Linked DNA regions of Lepisosteus oculatus. The protein of the gene in region 1 binds, or shares a complex with, the protein of each later gene. Links are inferred from orthologs where the notes say so. Each region holds a gene or a part of one and is shown on either strand. Other genes may lie near its edges.

Evidence for each region.
Region 2: the proteins of dlc1 (region 1) and tns2a are in contact, whole or in part, in an NMR structure (PDB 2LOZ), measured with the Homo sapiens proteins. The link is inferred for Lepisosteus oculatus from reciprocal best matches to the Homo sapiens genes DLC1 and TNS2. Residues at the interface, in NP_001335010.1 of Homo sapiens: Glu811, Asp812, His813, Lys814, Pro815, Gly816, Thr817, Phe818, Pro819, Ala821, Leu822, Thr823, Asn824; in NP_736610.2 of Homo sapiens: Asp1268, Leu1269, Leu1270, Arg1271, Gln1272, Gly1273, Ala1274, Ala1275, Cys1276, Lys1317, Ser1319, Ala1320, Gln1321, Thr1324, Leu1387, Asp1388, Pro1389, Asp1390, Gln1391, Val1403, Leu1404, Leu1405, Gly1406.

What each region holds. Positions count from the first base shown.
Region 1 is NC_090696.1:77,394,811-77,402,001, forward strand, and holds the start of dlc1 (rho GTPase-activating protein 7), read left to right. Parts: upstream 1-4,145; 5' UTR 4,146-4,430; exon of another isoform or gene 4,431-5,224; intron 5,225-7,191. UniProt on the Homo sapiens protein: Functions as a GTPase-activating protein for the small GTPases RHOA, RHOB, RHOC and CDC42, terminating their downstream signaling.
Region 2 is NC_090696.1:17,524,556-17,532,205, forward strand, and holds the start of tns2a (tensin-2), read left to right. Parts: upstream 1-4,494; 5' UTR 4,495-4,579; coding exon 4,580-4,693; intron 4,694-7,650. UniProt on the Homo sapiens protein: Tyrosine-protein phosphatase which regulates cell motility, proliferation and muscle-response to insulin. Phosphatase activity is mediated by binding to phosphatidylinositol-3,4,5-triphosphate (PtdIns(3,4,5)P3) via the SH2 domain.

The DNA.
Region 1 (7,191 bases):
TTTGTCTGCACTGAATGAAGAGACTGTGGTATTCAGTAATGTTCATACCTGGAATGTAGCCGTGCCATAGAAAACGTCTGTAAAACATTCTGGAATCATTTGAGGTGAAAAGCACCATCTAAATGCAAAGAATTATATGCTTGCTTTGTAACAGTCTCCTACTGTTCTTTGAATAATCTGAAGTTTAACATACTGTAAGTATTTTGTTAGTTCTGGATTATTAAAACCGGCCTGTACTGTAGGTGAGTAAAGCCAAGTCTATAAAGATACAAAAACATACTAATAAAACTCTCAAATAAACTCTTTTCAGAAAAAAAGAATAAGGTACAAAAAGGGATACAGTATGTACAGACGGAAATATATTTTACACCGCCTTAAAACATATTGTGCTTAATATCAACATTATACAGAATCTGCACCCAGCTCCCTAGACCCAAAAAGTATTCAATAGAAACAAGCAGACTGCCTCCCCATCTCTGTTCTTGCTTAGTCCTTCTGTGTGCAGGTATAGAGGAGCAAGTGTGGGTGAATATATTCACACGGACTGGAGAGGCAATGATGCAGTGGTGGCCCAGCAGATGAACTGCACAACTGTGCACTGTGCGTATGTGCACAGATTACAAAACCAAAAAGTAATATGCTGAGAGATGAAGAGAATATTTTTTTAAAAATTAGAATGGGATAAACGAATGTGGAACATTTCTTATGCATGACGTTCCTGAGTCATAAGATTTTGATCTTTGCTCTCCGAATGCAGCCTGGAGGGAGTACTGAAAAAAATGTTCTGGACAGGGAGACGACTTTCTGAAAGTATACAAAAGTTCTCACACCCTTTGCAGAGTGTGGGATGCCAAAATTCCTGTAAAAAAAACACAAAAGTGTGTGATGCAACTTTGTCAGTTTAATACATACTGACAGTATTTACTGGTATTACTGTAGAAATATGTATATTTAAACAACATGATTTATTGATCTGTTGTATAAAGCCTAATTGTTTATGTTTTGCTGAATCCCTATGACTGCCAGAAACTGTTGTGGTCATATTAATTTCTAAGAAAGCTTTTTTTTTCATATGGCTTCGAATAGCTGGGCTTCAAAGATTCTCTGCCATGACCAGGAATGGCCAGGCTTGCTGAGGATTTGCATGAGCAATTTCTGAGGAGAGCAGCCGAGAAACAGGACTCCGTATGGGATTTTAGAATTGCATCCAGTAAAATCATAAAATATTATCCTGCCCGTACTTTGTTGGTGATGGGGAAATGATTCTGTTGTCAGTGCTCTTTATGTTTGAGGCACCAATAAATTCTTCCTAGGGTTCTTCACAATGGCACACATCTTTCTGGAATGGTTTGGTTCACTTCTAGTCTTCAGCAAATCTCTTGGAGGAACCCTTCCTTGGAAGCTCATGAGATATAAGAATATAAGAACAGTTACAAGTGAGAGGAGGGTAGATTGTTCCTGACTCCCACACCCACTGGGTAAAAAAAAAACCTCCTCTTTCTGGTTTTAATTTACTGTTGAATTGTATTAGTTAAGGTTGTAGTTCATTCAGAATTACAGAAAGGTTAATACAATGTAAACTTTGTTAAAAATCCACCGGAACACAGCAGACGTGCAATGCAAGGATTTTGTCAACATATGATACTAAAACATGAAAGGTCCAGCATTTCAGACTGCAATGACCCCAATTCACATCTAACTTCATGATTCAGATTTATGTATCTTAATGCATCTCTCATGGCATAATTAAATTAAATAATGCATAAATTAGATTATATGTGTATCATCAGTGACACACTTCTGAACATGAGACCCGAAGAAATAAAAATTGCAATGAGCATTTTTTTCAAGCTCACAGACAATTCGGAAATGAAATGAATTCATATTCATATCCATATTAATTTCACTGAGTTGGAGCACAGACTCTGTGGGCAGGATTCCAACATGCTTCCACTTATCCAGTAGGTAATATTTTTTTAAATTCCATCCCAGTCCTCAGGCAGGGCAACAGCCAGATCTTATTGAATTGTTACAGTGTTATAATGACGACAGATGCATTATCCTAGAAGAGTCTCTAGTTTCCTGTTGGATTGTAAGCTGTTGCAGGACAGCCCAACAATTCTACAGACTATGTAATATATGTCTTTAAATCTTCCCTTTTGGTACACAGTCAGACTTCTGAAAAACTGAGCCTCTGCTTTTACGTGGAACGGTGACCATTACAGTATCTATTCTTCATCGTGGTTTGCACCATGCCCACTCACAGTGAAGAACTCGTAGTTTTGAGTTAAGCTTGTGGCTCAGGTGACTCAACCTGAAAACGCAGAAGAAGTGCACATGATTGTGTCTCGTCTTTGGTCATCCCAAAGATTAATTACATTCACATCATTTTTGCCTTTCTTGATGTGTTTTAAGACAAATTAGTTATTTTTGATGCATCCGTGTTTTGATTGATTAGGATTCAGTGTAATACCACATGCTTGTGATGTCATCAGGGAAATGTACAGTAGTTTGTTTTCAGTTTAGTATCTTCTGGATCTTTTGTAAGTGTAAACATTAAAAAGTAACATAGCTGTAAGCAGACTGCAGACGTCTGGGCTCATCACCTCAAAGTGCTCTTTCAGGCCTTTTCCCAATCACAACTTGTAAAGGGTACCAACAGAAACATGTTGCCATCTCACAAGCGCGTGAGACACACTTATCCATCCCTTTTTTCACAGGCTGGCATAAACCCTGCATGAAGTGCTCATGAGTTAGACTGAGCTCTTTCCACAATGTTGAGGGTGGGGGTGTGGGACACCTACAGTACATCAGAAGGGCCTGATGTCTTCTAACACTCCAACCTAGGTTACAAATTAAACAATTAACCTAATCATTTTTTTACTAAGACACATATAGATTGTTACTTAAGGTATTTAACATTGATAACCCAGTAGCATAGCAATACAATATTTTAGCCTGGGTTGTTGTATTAACTATCATGCTCTCAGTCAATCTGTGTAGCTGAGAATGTGTGTGTGGAACAAAGACCGTAAGACATTAAACTCTCCAAGCACTGAGTTTGAGATCCCTGCTATACAGGATCTTTTTATAACTATAACTGTGAAAAACATCCTTAAAATAATGAGGTTAATTGTTGATTTGACTACTCAGGTTAGAACAGAAACCAGAAGACACTAGCTCATCTAGTGATTGACACCCCCAGCCTACAGTCAATTATACAACTTGTGAATTGGCAATAAGTAATTAATATTCATCCCCAGAATTCAAAATGACAGCATACATTTAAAACACAATCTAATGCTCTCTTGTATACTATAGAAGTATACAAAGTAACACTGAGCAAATCTGCAATAGTATCTGTGAAGGACTGGTACAGTATGTAATTACCTTTTAATCAATAACAAATTATTAATACAAACATCATAGGTGTCACTTATAAGGGACGTATTAGGAGATTATAAGTAATAAACTACCAGATCAGTAATCTTAAAAGACTTACAAATCATAAAAAATGTCAAATGTAGTGCACCACATATAATTGTGATTAAACCTAATATCTTCTAACCATAAGTTATTATTTTCATTTTAACTTAGAAACCATTTTTAGCTAAACAAAAAGCTGTATTGGTTAACTTTTTTAATAAAAAAGGAACTCTCCAAACTTTATGTTACTTTTATGTACTGTATATTCCTTTCATGTTACACGCATTTTCTTCCTTGAGAGATAGAATCGACACATAGTCATATGTTTTAAATAAAACCATCCTAATCAACAAAAATATGAAGGTGATCCAAAAGTTTTGAAACATGGAAAAACTGAAAGCTTTTTTTATTTTTCAATGAGCTTTTTTTAAACGCTCATTGAAAAAAAACTCAGCGTTGTAGTTCTCTAAATACCGCGCAGTCTAAATCGGTCTGAAACACTGTGTTTCTGCTGGGGTGGCACATTCCCCTGGAATGTCTATAAACGCGTCTCAGTGTATTTCTTCTTCAGTTTTGCGAGGATGCTTGTACAGTTACAAGCGACTGTTAAAAAGCTTGGAAATTGCTGCCAAGAATTGCAGTCTCCTTTGGCTTCCATCCTGGGTTTTACAATGCTGCATGTCTGCTTTTAATCAAAACCAAATGGTAAGTCCAGTTCCCAGCTCGAGAGACACTCGGAGCGACTTGGAGGAAGTTGTGCTGTAAGGGAAGAAGAAAGAAGAAAAGATAAACAGATGATACTTGAAGCGAAGCCGAGCAGACAGCAAGGATGTGAAAGATGTGGGCTGTCCCAAAGACATGATTCAGACTCCTTGTCGAGCCAGGAGGAACAGCGCTCCTACAAGTGCACAGTGTCAGCAAAACTTTAATGTGCTCAAGATGGAGACTGTCCTTCAGTTTTCACAGTGCGGGATTTGTGTGGCTCTGGAGACTTTTCAGGAAAGGTAACGACAGCGGTACCCTTAAACTTTGGAAATGTTTAACCTGGATGGGGAAGACATATTACAATTTTAATTTAAGGGAAGTTATGTTTTTCTTTTATCTTTGACAGAGACATTGCCTGATAACAAGCACTCCGTAAATAAACCTGGAGATGACAGAAAATAAAACCCATTGACTTGGTGACGAATTGCTCTTTCATTCTTAATGCAGTATGAAAATGAATCCATGAAGAACACTGGGAACTCTGTTGAAATTCACAATTTTTGAAATATTTCTCAGTTGTCTTAATAAGGTGTAATTTACTGTGTGGTGGAGTTTTATCTAGAGTTATTTTCTCCCGTCCATCAGACCAATCAGCACTGAAACATCTAAGATATGTTAGATATCTGTAGATCACTGCGTAAAACACTGCTGAGTGCATGTTGATCTTTTAAATTCTGGTCATTATGCCCTTTGCCATTCAGACATGAACATGCTGTTTAAAGGCAGGAAATACTTCCAGGCAATCTGGGGCTAGGCAGAGTTGGCCCCCTTTCTACAAGCCATTACTCTTCGAGTCTGTAGGCAGGAGTCACAGAAAATTGACAGAATCCCGTGTGCCTGAGTTTCCCTCCAGCAGCAGAGCTTGTTTTTACACAGATACCAGCAGTACAGAGCTGCCTTCAAACAGATCACTCTGCTACGGCAATTAAGGATATGTGGACTTCTAAAACCCTCACTTTCACAGTACTAATGGTAATTGCTGAAGTTTGTTCTAAGGTAACAAAATAATCCATGCTTTTCTCTTGAGAGTAAGGTAAGTGACTTCTACATATCTATTATTTTCTGAAAAAGAGCAAACAGGCTCTTTAATGAACAATGTGGATACTGGTTTTCAGTTAGAAGGATGATTCTTGTTTGGTGCAAATGTTAGTGGAGTTACAAAACAAATGTTACTACCTCCGTTCAAGACATTAACTGACTGTGAAGTTAGACAGCAATTGCAGGCAATGGATTAGCTAAAGGCACATTGTGAATAAGATGTTTTGATATTATTTACAGAGCAATTTCTGTAACAACTGTCAACTAATCAATCATAGTAGAAAGCATAAACTGTAGTTACTAGGTAATTCAACACTTGTGGAATGATTTTAAATCATCCACAGACAGCACATTTTTTAACTGCTTTGTATGTGCCTGTATCTTTTGTAACGTTTTGCTTCTAAAAAATATTTTTCAGCTATTAAACAATGTTTTGAAGATTTTCACACTGTTAAAAAGTCCCTAATAGTTCATGACGCATTAATCAAATTAGCTTCTTTAAAACATGAGTTTTTCTTTCTGACTTCAAACTTATTATATTCAAGGTGAATAAATCAACATGCTTGATGGTTCTTTGCTAATTGAAGACCCCTTTACTGTGAGTCTGAACCTTTGCGTACTATGGAAACATTTGATCTTCACATTTCTTAGATTCTGTTGGAATTTGATGTCATCTGATGAACACTGAAATGTTTGAAACTACAGTAAACCATGTCTTATCCATGTTTACTAATCTTTTTCAGCATAGCATGTGTGCAGCTAAATTTAGCCTCAGTGTCTTATTTTGCATTGTTGTATTGAAATATCTCAGTACGAAATACAGTACCTACAGTACCTGCACTATAGCATGATGCTTTCAGCTTTATGATGCCACCAACGCCACTAGGAATAAGCGGTGTTTGAAAAATCTTTGGGTAATACTTCAAACTACTGGCCGTTTCAAAAAGAGTTTATTCTCAAACTCTGCGTTAAAATGTTGATTGTGTTGCTGTTTAATTTAAATACCTAGAAGCAAGAGATCATGAATCGTAAGGGAACTGAACACTATTCATCTTGTAAGGAATTTTGTTATCAGTAGGAGACAGTGATCTCTTATGGCCTGTAGAACAGACTATAGACTTTTATATGATACAGGATGTCTATTTTCCTGTATACTGTATATATATATAAAACACAGTGAGACATTAATGACTCAGGACTTTACATCATGGAAGCTTTTTTAATTGGGTCCAGTACTCATTGGTTGCATGTTTCATGCCATTCTGATAATAAAGCACAGTATTCAAGACGATGCATGAAATATATTATATATGAGATTTTGTTTTTTTACCTGTAAACCCTTTCCTGTAGTATTCTCATTCTTACTGTAAGATTTTTGTACGGTTCGTGCAATTTATAAACATATAATGTGGTCTTAAATTTAAGTTCATCTTGTATTATTAGTTACAATTCTCAATACTAATAAAAAATTTGCATAATTAGTTTATACTATAGAAAAATGTTAAATATGTGGTAAAAGCCAAGCCTTTGTGCAGGACATAATTGCCTAATGCTCCACTACAACAGGCATAAATTAAGTCAACTTTTGCTTTATGAAAGTATTTTTTGATTGGATTTCCACCTTGGCAGAAGTGAGAGATGTGTGTGCTCCTTGCACATGCAGTATTTCACTTATTTCTTCCTTTCCATGATCCTGTAGGCTTATTTCAAAAGTATACCCATATATCTGCCCATTAAAGAATACAGTTCTAGAGTTCAACTTTCAAGACTTTGGAGTTTGAAAAAAGCTCACAATTGACAGTAAATATTGACGTAACGAATTCTAGTTCAGCTCTAGTCTTCTATCAGTCCATTTCACAAGGCCAAGAGTCAGGGCAACCTGGAGTCCAGAATCCCACATTCCCAGAATCCCAGATTCCCACATTCCACGATTCCCAGAATCCCAGAGGCATACAGTAGGGT
Region 2 (7,650 bases), about 60 Mb from region 1:
AGTTCGGTATCCCCTGGAAACGTGCGTTCCCCCCGTCCAAAATATGCACGTTATCTCGGACAGATGATTTTTTTTATTCTCCACATATAAAATAATATATGTAACACACTCAAGATACAGCCTTTGCGTGCTTTGTTTCGGGTTTCATTGTGTTGTGTAAAGAATAGTTAAACTTTCACGTGGTGGCAGTATTTTTTTTTACATTACTACTTTACATTACTTGTTAATCCCTAGCAAACGCATTAAATACTTCGAGAGACAGAAATACCCACAAATAGGCTCCTTTTATCCCTCATAAACTAAGGCACAAATATGCACGCAGGAGCTGCTTATACCATGAAGTGTCCTGGAAAGTTTTGGGGAGCGTGTGTTTCTGACACCGGAAATCAGATGTACGTCATCGCTCAGTGGTCTAGGTAATCATTTTGGCAGATCACCACACAGGGAAGTAATTCATCCAGCTGTTTCTCAAAGGAAGGCAGGATTTCTGCTTTAACCACATGGCTGAGCAGCCTGTTCCCTACTCCCACACTCTGTTGTGTAAAGAAGTGCTTCCTGTTCTCAGTTTTGCACTTCCAGGTTACTTCCATACTATTCCAACTCGTCTTAAGTAACCTGCCAGGAAAACAATTGAACCACAGATCTAAAATAGGGATCTCGAATCTTGGTGCACAGGACCTAGACTTCTGCATGTTTTTTTCTTGGCGCGCTTTAACATATCAATGAGCAGAGATTCATTCGTACTTTTTAAGTAAACACTGGATTCACCGACGTCTCCTATGGTCGAGCTGGCGCTGAAACCCGAGAGGGCCGTGTGACACCACAAGACTGCAGCTGCACAGGTAAATGTGTCATCCCAGTGCTCGGGGTTTCTGGTTCGAACCCTCGACCAGCCAGGGACTCCCTGGTTCTCCACACCGAGAACCCACTGTGACCGAGTCTGCAGCAGCAGTAGCTGTTGATCCTGTTAATCTCTGAATGAGCCACTTCAGATAACAGCATCTGCTCAGCAGCTGATTAGATATCGATTCCAATCCGTTCTGGTCTGAAGCATCATGCGAGGATAGGGCCGCCCCAGCCCAGAAAGCCTGCCTGCCTCCCTGCCCTCTCGGCTTTGATTCTGTCTCCTGTGTTGTTTTCTGGGTGTGCTGCCTGTACCCCTCAAGCCGAGCACTGGGAAAACTCGGAGCAATGGACTGGCATTCGAGAGGGTCTCTGGCTCATACCTGCGAGCTGCGCAGAGCCCTGTTAATGGCCTGCTGTCTGGGATCAGGAGCAGAGGAGGCTTGGACCAGGCACAAGAATTTGCCTTACAAGGGGCTGTCTTCACCGAGAAGCTGGGGGCGCACGCAGAGCTGCCCTCCTGCTCTGCTCTGCTCTGCTCTGCTCTGCGCACGTAGGGCTGTACGTACGGCACCAACACATTTCCTTTGTCAAGATGTGGCCAGGTTTGCTTGTTTGTGCACAGCAGTTTATGCAGCAGAAAGATGAGGCTGCAGTGCAGCGCAGCGTGACACTTCATGTGTGTCAGGTGGAGGAGGAGGTGGGGTCTCTGGGTGTTGTCCCAATCCGAGACCCTGCCAGACTGCGGAGTCCCGGCAAATTGCAGGGCTGGTGTCCTTCTCTGACTGATTTTGTTTCTGGGGAACCAGCAAACAGTTTCTTTCATCACTGCAGCATTTGACAAGGATTATATTATAATATTACCGTTTACATGATACCTTTGAGCTAGTTGCATGCTGTAGTTTTTTACCACTTATTTCTAGCTTGTTAAATGTGGTCAAATGCAGAGGTGTCTTCCTGCCGGTGGGGAGAAGACAGCACAAGTGTGTTTTCTGGCATCCAAAACTACTGTACTACACACTTTGACTCTTTTACCTGTTGCAGTGCAGAACAAGCCGGGGAAATACAAATGGAATAGAGCCTCACTGATGTTGACCATTTTTAACAATCTTACCTTCGACCCAGAACTGCTGTACACATGCTGTACCTTTCAGGCAGTTACAAATATCTTGTTTGGTGACATTTTTTTCCTGGCTGATTTTAAACTGGAAGATTTAGCACACTGTCAACCAGTACATCACCACAGAGTGTTTGTGGCCTCTTTTACAAGCCTTAATTCACTGATCCATGTCCATGGTACCACACAGTTCTTAAAATTAGGATGCATCAGATTTATAATTCTTACTCTGGATGTATGGGGAAAAGCATGTTTTAGCTGCGGTTAAGAAATGACCAGTCATATTTCTGGAAAGTAATGCTGAAGACCAGCGAGCCCTCAATGACCCCAGATTTTATTTCATGTTGTTTTTGTGAGTCATCCCTGTGAGGTCAGCGAACATTCATTAACTGTGAGGAGATGCAGTGTTCATGAGGAACATTTCTCATGAGTGGTGACCGGTAATCTTCAGGCTGTTGTCAGATTTTGCTCTCAGACCTCGATCACTGTCTTCCTCAAATGTTAAATTGTCTTACTGCTCTCTGCGTTCAAACTCAACTGCCTGTGGGTGTCATTCTTCGCACTATTGCTACATATTTAATTACATTTGAGGGTATTTAATCCTTTTAGCCGTAAGCTTCACTTCTCTCCTCTTCATTAATTCCTGCATGGACTCTGTGGTGCACAGATCTTAGAAATTTTGCATTTTTTATACTTTTTCCAGTGTTTTTTCAGAAGCACAATCCAATTGCCCTCTGTGATTTTAGCCATTTTGTTTAAAGGTAATGGTTAATATTGACAAATCTGTGTTTTGTAGTACAGAAAGTAGAATTCTAGCTTTATGAAGGTGTAGTGAGTACCAATTTACCAATAACCATAACTATTCCTTACACTTAGTTCTTTTCTGGACACTCCACTCAAAGAGCTTTACAGGTAATGGGGATCCCCTCCACTACCACCAGTGTTTTCCCCACCTGGATGATGCACCAGTATGCTCCCCGCAACACCAGCTCTCAGTGTTAAGGAGAACAGAGTGATGACGCCAGTTCATACATGGGGATCATTAGGAGGCCACGATTGGTAAAGGCCAGGGAGAAATTTAGCCAGGACACCTACTCTTTTTGAGTAGCACCCTGGGATTTTTAATGAGCACAGAGAGTCAGGACCTCGGTTTTATGTCTCGTCCCAAGGATGGCATCTTTTTTACAATACAATGTCCCCTATCATTATACAGGAGCATTAGAACCGTCACACAGACCACAGGGAGAGCGCTTCCTACTGGCCTACTGGAGCACCTGATATCGATCCTGACATTGATAACGTCTGACCAACCAGTTTGACCTCATGAGTAAATGTGATGGATTTAGCACAACACCTCAGATTGGCTCTCCGTGTAGAGTTGAGATGTTGTGATTGTGTTTGTGTAGCTGCAGATCAAAGTGAATTAAAGACGCTAAACGACAGGTTAGGTGCCTTCTCATAAGCTGTACTGCCAACAGTCAGAGTTGTTATAACAGTAGAAAAAAGTAGTGGAGGTTCTGAGTAAATTGTTGATGCTCTTTACAACATACATATATTATAATTCTGGATTGTCTCCAATGTCTAAGACTTTAGCCCAGCAGAGAACCTGGATACATAACTGGTTACAGTGCCAACAACATCAATTTAAGTAAGGTATAAGGTATATACTTAATTAGGTATAAGCAGATGATTTATAGAGGGCTCTTCACATTCAGATGGCATCGTGTTGCAATTATACTGTATATTGTGCTTAAACTGTAGCAAAGGGAATTATTAGTCTGCTTTCGAATCCTGGAGAGAAGCAATTCCTTGTTGTGTTTCCAGTGCTGGTGCCAAAGCTCATTGCTGGCTGGACCAAGCCCAACCTATATTGCATCCCTTTATATGAAGCTTGCAGACAAAATAGCCTTTTCGCCTTGTGCTGTGAAAGATGTTTCCGAACGTTGTGGTGGCACATTAAAAAAAGTCCACGTACAGACTTCATAGGGGATCTACAGGGCCTATAGAGCATCTTGCCTGTCTGCAGATTGACCAGGTGATGTGCTCTAGAGAGCAGCTGGTCAGCAGGTAAATAAAGAACAGCGCTTTTTTCATGTTCGAATTGTAGGTTCGAAGGTTGGTTAACATGAACGTCACCTGCATCTCTCCAATTTATTTTACCTGAAAAAAAAACGAAACATGAGGCTGCTTTAAAGGCCGAGTTGTGGTTGTTTCTGGCTGTTTTCGCCTGCAGAGAGCGTACGTCTCCTGGGAGGCGCGATTCTGAATTTTGGCCTCCATTTGGATGGAGGGGTCCCGGCCAGGAATGTACACAGACAGCGACAGGGAAACCAGGAATGGGGCTCAGGGGGGACGCGTTCCCTTTAAAATAAGAAAAATCCGGCCGGGGGGGGCGCAGTGGCTATCGGTTTCCTGCTCGTATTGTACCTCGTTGCAGCGTCTGCGCTTGGGCTGGGGGTTGTAAGTGAGCCAGGAAAAGCAGAGGAGGGGGGCGGGGGGCGGGGGGGAGGGCCTGGCGTCAGCCGACAAAAACAGCTGTGGGACTGTGGAGTGGAAAACAGTCGGGCATGAGAGAGGGAAGAGGGGAAGAGAGAGACTGACAGAGGGTCCCCGCTCTCTATGGGTTGTGCCTGGAGCTCTGAGTGCTGCGGAGAGGAGCTGTGCCCGGTGCCGGTCGAGTGGGTGCCCAGGAAAGAAGGCCCGGGCGCTGCGGACAAGATGAGGCTGACGAAGGTAGGCTCTAGAAAAATTCAGGGCAGGTCCGGGGCTGGCATTCCGAATCGGATTTGTGTTGCTGGTGCCTTGGGTCTAGGGCAAGTGTGCTGCTTTCTCAGCTCAATCCGGCTTTCCAACACCGGCGCTGGGCAGGCTGTGCAGTGTGTCTTGCTGTCGCAGGTGGCCCAGGATCATCATGATCTCCAGGGTCTGGATCTGGGCCCCGGGTTCCGCCGATGTGGTCCCAAAGAGCTCAGGGACGAATCACTGAATCAGTGTGACTAGGACCCGGGCTGTAGATCTTCGGATGTAGTCAATCTTTTCACCCAGCTTCTCGAACCTGGGCCCAGCCGCTGCTGTGTCATGGCTGGAGTGTTCTTCTGCCCTGGCTGGACCACGGGCCTTTCTGTCTAAGTGTGAAAACTCTGATTAGGTGCTTGCAAGGAATTGGATTGTCTGGAGTAGCCTTCAAACTGCAAAATTAGTGGGCAGTGACAGGATGACATTTAGAAAGCAGTCTCCGGGATCTTGAAATTACTAGGGTTTTTTAGGTTTGGGGAAATGGCTGGACTGACAGAAAAGCATGGAGACACGTTCATATGAGGGGGCAAACTGTACTTTGGGTGCTGTGCATTTAATAGCAGGAATGGAAGCCCAACACCCATTTAGAGGAGGATATGTCACTTTTTATAACGTTTTGTGTTCGGAAACCATGTGTCCAGAGAATCAGGCTATTCCGACAGTGCTGAGCAAGTCCAGAAATTCGCAGCCTGTTTCTGGACCACATGGGGTGAATGTAAATGCACAGTGAGCTTACCCTTTTATCAGTGTGTACTCGCTTGTGTACTGATACAACTCGAGCTCTTAACAAAATATAGGAGCTGATAAGAACCACTCTTTGAATTTCACAGGAGCGACAGTGGTACACATCCAGTATTCAACTTGGATCCTGAAGGTCTAGATAACTGCCTCAGTGTCTGACTTTCATTCCAGTGAATGAACAGAAGTCCTCCTAACTAACAGGAGGGGCCCCAGGAACAGGTGTGCTTGTGCCTGTTCCCTTTGATGCCTGGTCTTGTTCTTTGTCACATGCAGTATACAGTACATGATCTCTGTGTCAAAACCACCTTTGCAAGCCTAGGTGGGTGTTATTGTGCGTTACTGTAATGTTCCTAACATTAAGATTGCTCTGAGGAATGGGAAACTGTCAGGGAGGAGTACGATCCATAATTCTGTTGTGTTCATTGGTGGAGCTTGTGGACCGGCGGGATCTGGCAGAGAGGAACGCCAGAGCAGTGCACTGAGGGACTGGGATTGCTGTGTGTCACTCACACCCTCAGTTTGGCGGTGGACTGGGTGGGAGGGGTGTTGGAAGTTTTCATCTTCTGAAATCTGGGTCCAAGTTCTGGTTCTGGTTTGGAACGCTACCCTACTCACTCTGATGTGCGGGGTATAAAAAAATCTACAAGCCTTGTTTTTGACTGGAATTGTCACCAGTTTGGGCTTCCACCTGGTGCTGAAATCCAGGGAGAATTTAAAACAGCAGAGCATTTGAATTGTACAATTAGAAGTGAATCCTGTTCCGGTGGTGTTGTTTACTGTAACTTTTGTGTAATTTGTGACTCTCCAATGTGACAGTAGTGGTACCCTTGAGCAAGGTGCCTCACCTGAATGGTTCCTGTAAAACACCCAGCTGTGTGAGTTGGTGCCAGTGTAAGTCATTTTGGACCAAAGCATCAGACAAAAATAATATAGCTTTCTCAAAATCCAGCTCCCCTGTCCTTGTATCTGTAATACCTGATGAGGCCCAGGTTCCCATAGCAATAAAGACAAGAACGTTGGCAATGGCTGGTAGAGAGGTGGTGAGCTTTGCTGCCTCGCCCTGGGTTAAATTCTGGGCCTGGGGTGCTATCTGTGAGGAGTTTGTATGTTGTCCCCATGATTGCGTGGGTTTCCTCTAATAGTCCAAAGACATACTGGTAAATTAATCAGCTTCTGGGAAAAGTGGCCCTGCTGTGTGGTTGTCTACTCTGGGATGGAGTGGGGTCCCACCAGGGTGTACCCTGCCTTGTGCCTTTTGCCTGCCGGGCTCCCCAGCTGCCTCAAAACTCTCCTTTAGAACCTGTCAGCAAAATTGAAATTGTAATACCCTGAATTAACCTTGAAAGGCTGGTTGTAGTTAGGGCAAGGTGCTCAAGAATTGAAGTGAGTTCTTAAGCATTGTGATCCCATAGTTTTCTACCAAGAGGCTGAATCTTCGGGACTCATGTGGTGACGTTTTCTGCAGAAGACTAGTGAGATCCGGAAAAGGCGCCACTTCCTTGGAAATGGACGCCAACAGGCCTTTCCTAGCTTCCTCAGCCGGGATTCTCATAGTAAATGCTGCAACTGTCTGTGGCCGTCAGTAGTACTTCCGGATATAGCTTTCCCGAAGCATGCCATGCATTCTCTGGGAATTACAGAAAGCTCCATCGGTTTCCTCCGAAATATTCCATGGAGATCATTATACAAACGTCAGCATTAAAAAAAAGTACTTGGAAAATTTGCGCTCACACACACAAAAGAACATTTTGTAAAATCAACATCCTCTCCCTGTGTTTAAAGGAATATACTCTGTGGCCTCAGTCGATACTGTAGTTGGCCTGTCTCTTCATTCTCTGATTGTTGGTTCAGCTGGGAAATTGCCCAGAGTGGCTTTGAGATCTGTATAACCTGCAGACTGAAATGTTATCCAGCATTTTTGTTTAAATTTTTGGCAATGAAGTGACTTAGCATTTATGGTGAACAGGAGATCTTTTGGTTTTGAATCACTGCAGACTCGTAAAACAGTATTATTTTTTTTAGTTCTGATTTTAGACAAGGGGATTCAGACTCTAGTCCTGGGGTGCTGAGTGTTTTGTTACAAATTAAACAATTAAAAGTTCTTAACATTTTCTTATGCTGAGTTACAGTTGAACTCTCACAGTGCTCACTTC